Linked DNA regions of Rattus norvegicus. The protein of the gene in region 2 interacts with the protein of the main gene of each other region in a biochemical or structural test. Links are inferred from orthologs where the notes say so. Each region holds a gene or a part of one and is shown on either strand. Other genes may lie near its edges. The genes, in order: Tmem178a, Dlg1 and Gucy1a2.

Region 1 (3,555 bases), on a different chromosome or scaffold from region 2:
GCTCCTGTGGGGTTATGTCTGACCTTTGTGCTTTGTAGTAGTCACGGAAAACAACTTCTGAATCACAGGGCAAGGATGTCACAGGGAATGACTGAGCCATTATTAGTCCCTCTCCTCATATGTGGCCATGCCAAACTATTTATACCCTTGTACCAATAATAATTCAGCATATTTAAATTGTTACTATCCATAACCCCTTATTTTGTGATATATATTCTCTATTCTGGGAGGGGCATTTAGTGTAAGATAAATAGAATTTAAAAGCTCTGAGCTAGAAATGAGAATTCCCTTCTAAGCAGCAGGGAAAGGAAGCTGGGTGGTGGCCTGCTCCTTTGATCCCAGCACTCAGGAGGCAGAAATCTGTGAGTTCGAGGCCAGTTTGTTCATACAGAGAGAGTTTCAGGACAGCCAAGGCTACACAGAAACCCTACCTTGAAAAACAGATAAACAATCACCCCCCACCCCTGCTCCCCAGAAAAACAGGGATGGGGCAAGCTGTTTATGGATAAGATGCTATGGCCAATATTGGAAGCTACTGTAGCCTGTCTTCCCTCCACGTAGTGCCCCTAGGTATTCCACAGCAGTGGGGAAGCCCATCCTCCAAGTCCTGCAGTCTGCTGAGCTTGTGCACTTTGCTCAGACTTGTTACCTGACCTCAGGAGCCGCAGGTGTGTGTGGAGGTGTGTGTGTCTTGTTTTAAGAAGAATGTGTTGTTCCAAACAAAGGCACAAGCAAAAGCAGGAAGGACAGATAGAAACAGCGAAAACGTAAAATAACCAGAAGATGGCCAACCTGAGTTGCCGAAGTGCTGTAAGGGGGAGATACCTTTCCGTATAGATCAGTGGGTCTCAACCGTCTTAACGCTGCGACCCTTTCGTACAGTCCCTCATGTGCTGACCCCAACCATAAAATTATTCTCATGGCTGCTTCACAAATTGTAATTTTGCTACTGTTATGAATCGTTCAGTAACTGTATGACATGCAGGACATCTGCTATGTGACCCCTGTGAAAGGGTCGTTTGACCCCAGAAGGGGTTGTGTCTCATGGCTTGGGAGCAGCCGAGACAGATGCTGTCAGTTATGCCCATGGTGAAGACTTGTCCCATGGGCGTAGCTCCTTCGTCTTCCATCGGTAAATAAGCTCTCCACCGTGAGGCTTGCACTTGAGGGGTGAGAGTGTGTTTATGAGCAGCTAGCCGCCTTGATCATGCACTTCAGGCCGCTTCCTTCCCCGTGGTGGCTGTGCTTGCTCACTTTTTTTTCTTAAATACTTCTCGAGAACAGACAGGAGTAGCTAGAAATGAAGAAAACAACGCTAATTGGCATCCGAGATGCTCAGACAAAAACCTGTTTTTCGTAGAAGCTCGCCTTCTGGGCTCTTTCCTCCAAAGAGGAGAAGCCAGGTTAATGACAGCCACTGTGGTACGCCGACCTCCATCCCGGCTGCTCTTTGAAGGCTGAGGATGTGTTTCTCGAATCTTCCTCGCCCAATTTACTTACTGTGTGTGATGTTTGTTACTCACGTTTTGTCTGGGGTTGTCCCCTCATCTATTCTGTGGGTGTAACCAACTTCTCCACAGACGTAGAGGGGTACAGTGGCAAAGGTTACTCATCCTAGATACCCACAGCTAATGTACCCACAGATACATGGGAGCAGAAGTCCCTAAACCCTTCACCCTGAAGTCCCCGTGCCTGCCTGGATAGCCTCTTCTCACAGTGCATGTGAAATTCTTGGTCCTGTAATTTTCAATTGCTTTTCTGCCCCGCCTCCGATTTTGACAGTCTGTTTCTGTTTTGAGATTAGATCTAAGAAGAATAACAGCTGGATTCCTGGGCATGGCGGTGGCTGTCCTGCTGTGTGGCTGCATCGTGGCCACGGTCAGCTTCTTCTGGGAGGAAAGCCTGACCCAGCACGTGGCTGGACTCCTATTCCTCATGACAGGTAGACTGTACACCGTCAGCTTCCGCTCTGTGGCACAGAATTCGGCTTGGTTCTATCACTAGTAATGTTGGTTTCAGTGGTGGGAAGGAAGCGAGCAGAAGCTCATTCATCTCTGAGAGAAAATAAGGAATTTAAAGGGAACAGTGGACAAAGTGCATTGCCCAACTTTCCCACAGCAGCATTAGTAGGTCAGAGGAAAGTGTCCTGCATCCATTCTCAATTGAGTCAATGCTGGCATTTTCTGCCTTATTGCTTAACGCTATGTCTTGGAGAGAAAGGTCAGTAGCTGAAAGTCCCCTCATACTCTATGTACCAGGGATGGTGTCCTTGGCATTACTGTTGGTGGATTTCCTTTGTCAGGGGCTGATCTTGGTCTTAGAGACATAGAGAAGAGAGCGGACAATGTCCCTGCCCCATTTTTATTGTGGAGAGACATAAGAAGTGATTTGTGATAGCAATACAAACTGGGAAGACGAGCAGGGTACAGTCTGGTTGGGAGATGCTGAGGCAACAGTTTCCGAGTTGAATCATGAGAAGCAGCCAGAAGTTGGGAGAGAACTGTGAGCTGGAGACGCCACCAGCTCAGAACCCCGAGCAGGAGTCAGGCAAGTGTGTTCTGAGGAGGAAGAGAGGTAGGAGACGGGAAGGCATGCCCAGAGTGGGAGCCATGGTCAGGACCAAATCTTTAGAGATCTCTTAATGAAGAGAAGAGAGAGGAGCATGAATGTAAAATATAAGTGGTGGAAACCACTAGAAGATTTAATGGAAGGATAACTTTATTTAAAACAAGAGGGGTGTGGAAACGTGGCTAGCAAGTAAACAAGTTGGTTTAACAAGTAAAGGGTATTTTGGTTTATAAAGGAGTTGGGAGTTGGGTCAATGGCTAGGCAAAGGAGGCTGCAGAGAAGAAATGGCCTCCTCTTCAGCCTCCACAAGAAGTTAAGGAGTGGATAATGAGGGAATGCCAAATTAAGTTTCCCAAAGTACTAGTCCCAGAAGAGCCAACACTACCCCAGATGGCCATTCCGGCCCAAAGAGTCCTGGGGCTTCACAATCAGTAAAAAGTTCTCCCTTTGCCCCTCCCCTTTGTCAGTTATACTGCAAGATTTTGGGTACTAGCCCAATGTACGTCAAAGATGTGTAGGCTTCTCCCCCGACAGCTTTAGTTTTGCCGTTATTTGTTTTTGTAAGATAAGATCTTGCTATGTGGCTCTGGATAACCTGTAACGTCTAAGTAATCCAGGCTGGCTTCCAACTTAGAGCTTTTCCTGCCTCTGCATCCTGAGTGCTGGGGTCTCCCTGTGTACACTGTCATGCCTGGCTGCTTCCCCCAAACTCTGCAGAGGCCCCACGCCAAAAGCCACAGAAGGACTTTCTTTTTTAAGGCCTCCTTTTACTACAGGGGACGGACGCATGAATACTCAAGGATGTTCAGAGTAGGAAACAGTTGTTCTAGTTCAAATACATCACGAGGCCACACAAATCCGGCTCCACCAGTTCTCCTGCCTAGGCAGAGGAGGTGAATTTTGCAGAAGGGAAGGCGTAAGTCGGGTGTCTGTCAGTGACACAGAAGGGCCGACAGTTTTCAGGGTGCTCAGTTCGCCTGTCACTTG
Region 2 (4,349 bases):
ACTGGCAGTTCACCCTCTCCCCACCCTTAATGCATGTCTTTAAGTCTGTAGTAACACTAAACTCTAAAAAGTTATAAGGTCTACCAAGCCTGTACAAGGCTAAAGAGCATCAATAGAGCAATAAGTTATCTGACAAGGCACACATTGACAACAGTGTTCAAATCACACCAGTAATCAATCTATCAGCACACACGTGTGTGAGGCCTATCCGCTGGGAAGTTACTGAGAAAATGGACATAATGAGAGAAAGCATAGGTCTTATTTGAACGTGTTAGACAGTCCTTACTTAATTTTTTTTAATCTTACTATTGAACCTGGAGGCAATAAACCACCTGGTTCAGTAGTCAGGTGAGAAAAACAGAAATTTCATTTTTAAAAGAACCTGCTGTCTTTAAAAGTCTTAAAAGCCCACTCTTCACTTACTCGCCCACAGTCTACAGTTACTAACCAGCCTAAACTGGATGAATGGGCTCTCTGATATTTAATCACTAACCGTGTCAGGAACTAGTCAGGACTTTGGACTACTTGTCCAACTCTTTAAAACAACGAACTATCTCATATTTAAGATACAGGTAGGTAAGAATAAGACTGTTACAATGCTATCTGTAGAATAAGATAATTATTAGACATCACCTCTGAGATCATTCTCCAGGTCTAAAACTCATACTATAGGAATGTCAAATTTAACAGAGGTGTATATCAAAGAGATGACTGCTCTCGAACACAGCAGAACCCTTCAAATATCTTCAAGGATTCCAGAGAAATACAAGTCAACTACAGAAACACCAACAATAGTTCAGGAACCATTGATGTTCCTAAAACATTTCTACAACTTGTCCATCTTTCAATAGGTAACTCTAAAACTTGAAACGGTATTCTCAGAGGGCACAGAAATAACCATACCAGTAAGTTTTTTCTGGTAATTAAATACCTTTAGAAGCAACAGTGGCCTACTGCAAAACATAAGCACAGTAGAGATGTTCCAAGTTAATGGCCGTCCCCGGAGAGCCAAGCACATTGTCATTCTAAGTTTCACATGACAGAGAAGCACCATGCATTAGTACAGTGGTCACAAGTAAAACAGTTTTAATTCTCACCTATTAAAGCCTGAAAGAGGTTGCTCTGAAATATGCTAATAACCCGCTCTATGGAACTCCTGAGCTGTCTGTCTTCGGTTTGGCTTAGTTTCGACCGATATTCTTCCAACAGATGCAATGCTCTCTGGGTATCTGAAAAGACAAGTACGGTGAAAATTTCATGTATATATTTAGGGTCTGTGTCTGCATGCATACTTACAAGAAAGTGCTACATGCTACGTCTACAAGACATCTAAAGAGTTCCCCAGAGCCTCCAAGTCAAGTGGGGTCAGCGCTACAACCATATTCCATTCCCTGCTAAGACGAAAATACTTTAAAGGCTTTATATCACACTAGAGGAAGGAGAAAGTAGTGGCTGTGGACTGACAGCCTCCAATACTTAAAGACCATCTAATTAAACTGGTAACAACTTGGTTTTAGAATGCCTAATAGACAAGAACAAGTTATCTCCAACTTGGTCCTATAACCAAATTTTAAGTTTTTAAACATCGGTTCTTAGCTACTCTCAGTTGTTCACAAAATAGTGGTGCTATGAATGAAAAGTGAAATACTGAAGCAACGAAGTTTTTAAAAAGACATGGCAGGGGGCTGATTGATTGCTTCAGTAATCACTACAGATGTGGAGAAGGTGTGTGCAGCGAACTAGGTGTTTCCACCCTCTGAAATGATGTGGAGCTTAGATACCGTAAGGAATAAAGGCGAGAGCCTGCTGATTCATCAAAGTCACACAATCCTTTTAAAAACAGTAACCACAACACTGATGTATGTTACAGCCAGTGACAGCCACAAAACAGTTCCAAAATAAATTCTCACCTTGCTTCCGGACCGGCATTTTTTCCCAGAAGCAGGAAGAAGGCACACACACCTTTACAAACACAAAACAGGAAGAAAAACTTGAACTAAGGCAAAGAACTGAACCGTGGATCCATTCGTTCCCCCCCAAACCCCCCACCCCCGTCCCAAACTCTCAACTAGGAAAAACTCCAACCTTGGAGGAACTGCCCACCTTTCAAAGTTTTCCCAAGTGAAAAGCAGGAGCCTCAACCCCCCCAGCAGTGTCAGCCAAGGCAGAAAGCCGGTTCTCGGGGGTCGCTATGCCCCCTACAGATTAAGATCGGACCCAAGCCCGCTTCGGAATGTTCCTCCAGAGCTTCCCCCTCCGCAAAGAGCACCTGAAGAGGAGCAGCCGGGCCGCCGCCGCGGCGTGCTTGCCACGCTCCCCACCTGCTGCCGCCCGCCGGCCCGTGTCCAGCCGCGCAGCGCCCAGCCAAGCGCCGGGTTGCTCCCCCGGCCCGCTCCGGCCCCCTCCTCTCGCTTGCCTGGCTCCTCGCTCGCCTCCTCCCGGCGGCGACTCCAGCAGGGGCCGGACCGGACAGCCGCCGCTCTGTGCGCCGCCCTCGCGCCGCTCATGCACCCCTCCGCGGCCTCCACACCTGCGGCTCCGCCGCAAAGTTCCCGCGAGCGGCGAACGCGGGCGCCCCGGGTGCGCTCCGGCCAGACTCGGAGCAGCTCCCCGCCCGGCCCCGCTCCACGTACCCCGCCCCGCCCCGACTCGAGCTCAGCTGAGGGGGTGAGGGGACGGGGGAGGAGCTCCTCTCGGCGGCCGCACCCCCGCGCCGCTCTCTCCGCCTCGGCCGCCGCCGCCTGCCCTCTCGCCGCCGCTCGCGGCCCCGCTCGCCCGCTCGCCTCCGGGCCGCCCCACCCCCGGAACCTCGCCTCCTTCCGCGCCCCCAGTCGCTCTCCCCCTAAACTTTCCGCCAAGATGGCGGCCCTGGAGCTGGCCTGCCGCGCGCCCACGTGACTGCTTTCCCGACGCCCTCAGCCAATGAGAAGTGAGGAGGCGGCTCGCTCGGAGCCCGGGGCTCCGGGCGCTGCTACCTAGGGGTTGGCAAAGGGAGGAGGGCTGGGAGGGGGTTGGAGTAGTGGAAGGAGGGACCCTTCAGCATCCAGAGGGAAGCGCCTTGCTGAGAGGCGCTCCAGTCGAAGTGGCTCTAAGGACAAAGGAGTTGGCACGCGCTCTACAGGTGGTCCGAAGTGTTTTTGGGACAGCTAGCCTGCCCGTCGCCCTAGCCCAGGGTGGCCTGCAGTTCTGAACTAGCGCGCTGGACTCGAGATGATGGAGACTGAAACAGAGAAGTGACCTCACCTGCGCCAGATCCAAGAAACAAGCTCCAGACACCCCTTAACCTCACTGAACACGTGCTGGCCAACTTCAAGGCTGGAAGAGTACCTGGCACGCCCGGGGTGGATCCCCAACAGGGAAAAAGGAGTTTGTGCAGGCTGCGCCGGTCACCCACGTTAAGGGGCGGAGAAAGAAGGGACTTCGGAGGGGAAGGGGTAATCTGGGTCTTCCACTTTTGACTGGTTTTTAAAGTATTCGTTTGTCCAAAAAGGTTTGAGGAGTTTCATTAAGGACCGGATGTAAAACGGAGACTGATTAGTTTGGTAAACGTTTGAGGGTTTCAGGGGACTTTTAGGTGTAAGTGGTTAACTCCTAATATGAGCCGTTTAATGATGAAATTTTTCATTCATTTATGCCTGCATTCATCTGTGCGTTCATGAATGTGTCCCTGCCCAGTGATGCTCCCAAGAGTTACCCATCTTATGGAGGACCCTTTAAGAAACTCACCTGTCTACCTGGTGGTGGTAGCACAGGACTTTAATCCCAGGATGCTAAGGCAACCTAATCTTTTTGAGTTCCAGGCCAACCTGGGTTACAGTGAGTTCCAGGACAGCCAGGGCTAGACAGAGAAGAAACCCTGTCTTAGGTAAAAGACAAACAAAAAAAGCCTCTCACCTGTAGCTACCTCAGAGACTGAACTACTGCCAGCCCTCACAGCTAGTTTAAATTTCAAGCTCCTCAAAGCAGAGCAAACAGTCCCAAGGGACCCTTGCTCTAGAGTTGAGGCTGCAGCTTGAGGAAGGGGACAGTTCTCCGAGTCACTGCCCAGCTCACTGAGCGGCTTTTAAGCAATAGGAACTTCTCTGCTCCATAGCCCAGGAAAATTTTTCCAAAGTCGTCAGAAGTTACTGAGGCAGAACCAGAAAGGCAGAGACCCATATGTGTCAAACCTTAAGGCTGGATCCGCTTGGATCCAGCTTGGAGATGGTTCACTTGGTTCTTGCCTCCGAGCTGGATGCCCTGAATTCCATTCCTGGGATCCACATGGTCGAAGGCGAGAGGGACCCCCCCCCCACCGCCATGCACTATACACATTTAAAATCAATCCATCAATCAGTAAACTATGGGGG
Region 3 (4,166 bases), on a different chromosome or scaffold from region 2:
TTATATGTTCTTATAAAGAACACAGACCTTCTGAACTTTTTAATATCACAATTTCTTTCAAATTTCTTGTTCTGAAAAGCATTATCTGGGCACATGTTTTTCACATCAGTCACTAAACTCCAAATTACAAAAGAAACCACCAGAAATTATTTCTTGTCTCTCATTCTCACAGTAGATACATCAGTTATCACTTTATTTTCCCTAAGCCTCAAGTGAGTATTTGAGAATATTCTATGCAAAATCATTATCAAAGACACTTTAGAAACCTCTATATTTTACTTCTCAAGCACAAAGAAAAAAATCTGGGTTACAAGGATTCTTTACCAATGGATCATTATGTTTAGTTAGCTATATGAACCTGTTGACTGAAGTATTGATATGTTGCAAAAATGTTATGTTGTGGGTTGATACAAACCTACATATGCACAGCTACTGAATTCCTCTCATACTCAGTTATGTTTGACAATTTGTAGCATTATATATGTCTCAGGATTATCTTCTGTGGGACAAATTTATAGGGAAGATTGAAAACAAATCAGCCAACCTGATCTGAATTATCTTTCTAGATTATCTGTAGGATGGTGTGTTAAAGAGTAAAACACAACAGAAAGAAAAGAGACTGAAAATATGTTTCAGTGTTGAAAGAAACACTTCTCCAATAACACAGATACCACAGTGATGTCTGTGGCATTGCCTGGACCAGAACATAGATCCTTAACATCTTGCTTTTCCCCAGGACTTTTCTACACTGAGTACAAGTATGCTTTCCAAGGGAAACCTAGGATACACTAAATAAGAGAACATTGTCCAAATACATTGAGGGAAGTTCAGAGAAAGTTAAAGTCAAAGAAATGAGAGCAGAAGGGGAAAATGTAGTTCTTAAAGAAAGTTAAAGTTTTTGCTTTCAAAACCTGGATGAGGTTCAAAAGTGGGTGCAAATTTGACATTGAATCTCCTTTACACTCTGTAATTGAGTGGATTTCTACAAACCCAAAGTCTGCTTAGTAAATGGTAAAAAACAGAGGCCTGACATTCCTGAAAAATCATACAGGCAGGAGTGGGAGAAATGTCTGAGGAGGAATGAATAAAAGTGGTATGTAAGAATGACTAGAACCAGGGTGTACAGGGGAAACTGCTAATACTACATATCCTAAGATCAACATATGTTTGAAGGAAGTACATGAAGGCATGCATTCATTCAATAAACATAGTAGTGGATTCTAATATAACGGAGGCATAAAAGAAGAAATAAAAACATTTTAAAAAAACTGAAACAGTGGAGAATCTAAGGATAAGAAAGTCCAGGATGAGGTAAGGGTACAAGTGACTTTTATTTTTACAAAGACACCAGGTTTGCCCTAAAAGGAAAACTGAGCCAATAAATTTATAACAAATAAGAAAACATCACGAAGGTGCTCTGTGTGTGTGTGTGTGTGTGTGTGTGTGTGTGTGTGTGTGTGTGTAAACATAGCATTACAGTTTTGTATGAGAAAAAACAACTCAGAAAAATATCTAAGAGAGCTTTCTTAAATGTGAGAAAAGCATTCAAAAGAGACTGCTGTGAGCCTGTGGAATTCAGAGATGCCCTAAAAGGTCACGAATCAGACCAAGAGAGTGTGGGAAATAGGAAGAGTAAGAGCTTCCAGAGGAGGGAGCTGGGGCCTCTTTGGAATGTTGGAAAGGGAAATGGGAGTTGCAGAACCAGAACACACCCTGGGAAAGTTTTGAGCAGAAAGAAGGGAGGGTTGGGAGGAAGAAAAGATAGAAGAAAGAAAGGAGGGAGGAAAGGAGGGAGAAGAAAGAAGACCGGAAGAGAGGAAAGAAAAGAGAGTTAAAGTAGAAGAAAGCAGAAGAGAAAGAAGGAAAATAGAAAAACAGGTGGCCTGAAGGATCCCTGAGGCTATCAAAGAAGACAACAGTGTAGTTTGATTTAAGCCTGGAAGTGGACAGGCAGACCTTGGAAAGAATGGGTCTCATTATTTCCCAATGTTCCCCTTCTGCCTAAGCCCAGACCTCTAGGGACCACTAGGAACTCAAGGCCAAAGAGGGTGAGGCCGAGTCGCCCCCCAGCGGACGGGAGCTCCCCAAGCTCCCCAGATAGCTTCGATCCAACTTTCCCCATCCCTTTCCCGGCTCACCGAGGGCGCCGTCAGGAGACTGATACTCTCGCCCAGTGAGTCCAGGTTGACCCTCCGGCGGCGTTGGGCTCTCTTGGACCCGGCGGCGACTGCAGCAGCTGCCGCAGCGACAGAGGCAGCGGGGACTGGGGTGGCAGCCATAGCGGCTGCTCTGGAGCCAGGTGGCCCTGGCGGGCTCCGGCTGCCATTCCAGCAGAGCTTAGACAAGGGGCATTCCCCTTCCTCTTCCGGGCTGGTCTCCAGGTAATCGGAGCCCAGAGAGCTGAAGGACTCGGATGAAATCTTCCTGCGAGACATGCTGCTTGGAGACACTACTGCAGCAGAGACGGCGGCGGCAGCAGTGGTGGTAGTGGTAATGGTGGCGGTAGTGGTGGTGGAGGCAGGGACGCAGTGGTGGTGGTGACCGTGGCTGGATATGCTGTAGCAGGCAGCTTCAGTCGCTTCGGGGCTGCTTGGCGTTGCGCTCGCGCTCTCCCAGATGCGTGTCCCTGGGGCAGCTGAGCCCACCGAGCCAGCTGCTCATGGCGGGAACTTGGGTTGCCGAGGCTCCTTACGGCCCAGGCTCCGCAGTGGCGCCGGAGATGAGCTGAGGATTCAAGTACCGCCACCGCTGACTCTGCAGCTGCTGTTCTCCAAGCTCAGCCTCAGCACCGGCCAGTGCACAAAGCTCCCACTGAAGGACTGCGGAGATAAGGGTGCATGCAGCAAGGATCCTCCGCCTTGCATCTCGATCGCCCGTGGCTCGTGTCCTCCGCCCCCTCCAGGAGCTGCGCGACTCCCTCCTCCTCCCTTTATACCCCCGCCCTCCAGCGCTGCCTCCGCGGGCATCACGTGTCCCAAGCATACTCATTGGAAGTCTTTTCCTTTTCTGTCGCCAGATTTCGGGAGCAACTAGGACACTTTGCTGCTGTTCTTTCGGTTCCCAGCCATTGTGCCCTGATACCAGGGGGAGCGTACAGTAGTTGTCATAGGGCTAAAGGTTCCTAAGCCCAAATGTCCCTTGGCCCCTGAAAAACAGAAGGGCAGTGAGCACGCCCAATGTCTGACGCTAGGGTGAGGGCCATAGAATTGAGGGAGTGATCTCTCTCTGAAGAAAACTGACAGCCCGACCTAGAGTATTGGGGTCCCTACACACAGGCGTGCTCACGGACACAAACAGACTCATACACACACTCAACACACACACACACACACACACACACACACACGCCATGTCCAAAGTCCAATGTCTAGTTTATTTTAGAAGTTCAGATTGGTCACATCAACTGCTCCAGCGGACACACAGGCAAAGGAAAAAACTACGGGACAGATTGTGAGGATGATTCCCCACCTCTAGTGAGGCCACGAGGACAGTGAGGCTAGCGTCTGTTCCTTGTTGCTTCATTTGTGGGAGCTCTTTTGGAGGAGCATCTCCCAGCTCCAGCTTTCTAAGTTCCAGTGCTGGACAGCTCCGCTCACCCCCTGCACCATGTTTGTCAGATGGTGACAGCATCTGATCTATTCCTGTACAGACTCCTCTCTTTGACCTGACCCTAAGGAGCATGCAGGAGGTTCCTATGAACCTAGACCACTGAACTTGTTCCAGATATGCATTTGGGAAAACCAAGGGCAGTGGCGATTCATACACCAAGAACAGATTTGCCACACTATGGGTCTCTTGAGTGTTAGTTTCAGCACACCAGCTTCGTTTTACAATTTGAACCATTGCCACCAGTCGCAGGGGTGGCCCCAAAGCCCTTGGTTAGTTCCAGAAAAGATTGTTCTGAAATTTTTAATAGACGAGGGTAAAAAGGAAGAGGAAATTGCAGTATCCCAGGGGAGGAGTTCCAAGCTTAGTTTCCTGGTGAAAGCGATTGTGCACCTTCCTCTCCTCCTGATCTCAGAAGGGCTTGGGCTTTAACTTGAAGGACACAAAAGCCACAGTGTTTTTATGCTCATTTGCAAAGGGCTAGTCTGGGTAAGTTAGATAAGTTTAAATGGACAGAGCATATTTCAAAACAAAAGAAAACCTCAGAGTTATTATTGCTT

What was found.
Region 1: the proteins of Dlg1 (region 2) and Tmem178a interact in a test that uses a peptide from one of them, tested with the Homo sapiens proteins (2 studies listed by IntAct, with this or other methods). The link is inferred for Rattus norvegicus from reciprocal best matches to the Homo sapiens genes DLG1 and TMEM178A.
Region 3: the proteins of Dlg1 (region 2) and Gucy1a2 interact in a test that uses a peptide from one of them, tested with the Homo sapiens proteins (2 studies listed by IntAct, with this or other methods). The link is inferred for Rattus norvegicus from reciprocal best matches to the Homo sapiens genes DLG1 and GUCY1A2.

What each region holds. Positions count from the first base shown.
Region 1 is NC_086024.1:19,767,264-19,770,818, reverse strand, and holds part of Tmem178a (transmembrane protein 178A precursor), read left to right. Parts: intron 1-1,804; coding exon 1,805-1,942; intron 1,943-3,555. UniProt on the Homo sapiens protein: Acts as a negative regulator of osteoclast differentiation in basal and inflammatory conditions by regulating TNFSF11-induced Ca (2+) fluxes, thereby controlling the induction of NFATC1.
Region 2 is NC_086029.1:82,604,963-82,609,311, forward strand, and holds the start of Dlg1 (disks large homolog 1), read right to left. Parts: upstream 2,836-4,349; 5' UTR 2,417-2,835; intron 1,963-2,416; 5' UTR 1,930-1,962; coding exon 1,911-1,929; intron 1,230-1,910; coding exon 1,098-1,229; intron 1-1,097. UniProt on the Homo sapiens protein: Essential multidomain scaffolding protein required for normal development. Recruits channels, receptors and signaling molecules to discrete plasma membrane domains in polarized cells.
Region 3 is NC_086026.1:8,783,901-8,788,066, reverse strand, and holds the start of Gucy1a2 (guanylate cyclase soluble subunit alpha-2), read right to left. Parts: upstream 2,856-4,166; 5' UTR 2,436-2,855; coding exon 2,139-2,435; intron 1-2,138. UniProt on the Homo sapiens protein: Has guanylyl cyclase on binding to the beta-1 subunit. Isoform 2 acts as a negative regulator of guanylyl cyclase activity as it forms non-functional heterodimers with the beta subunits.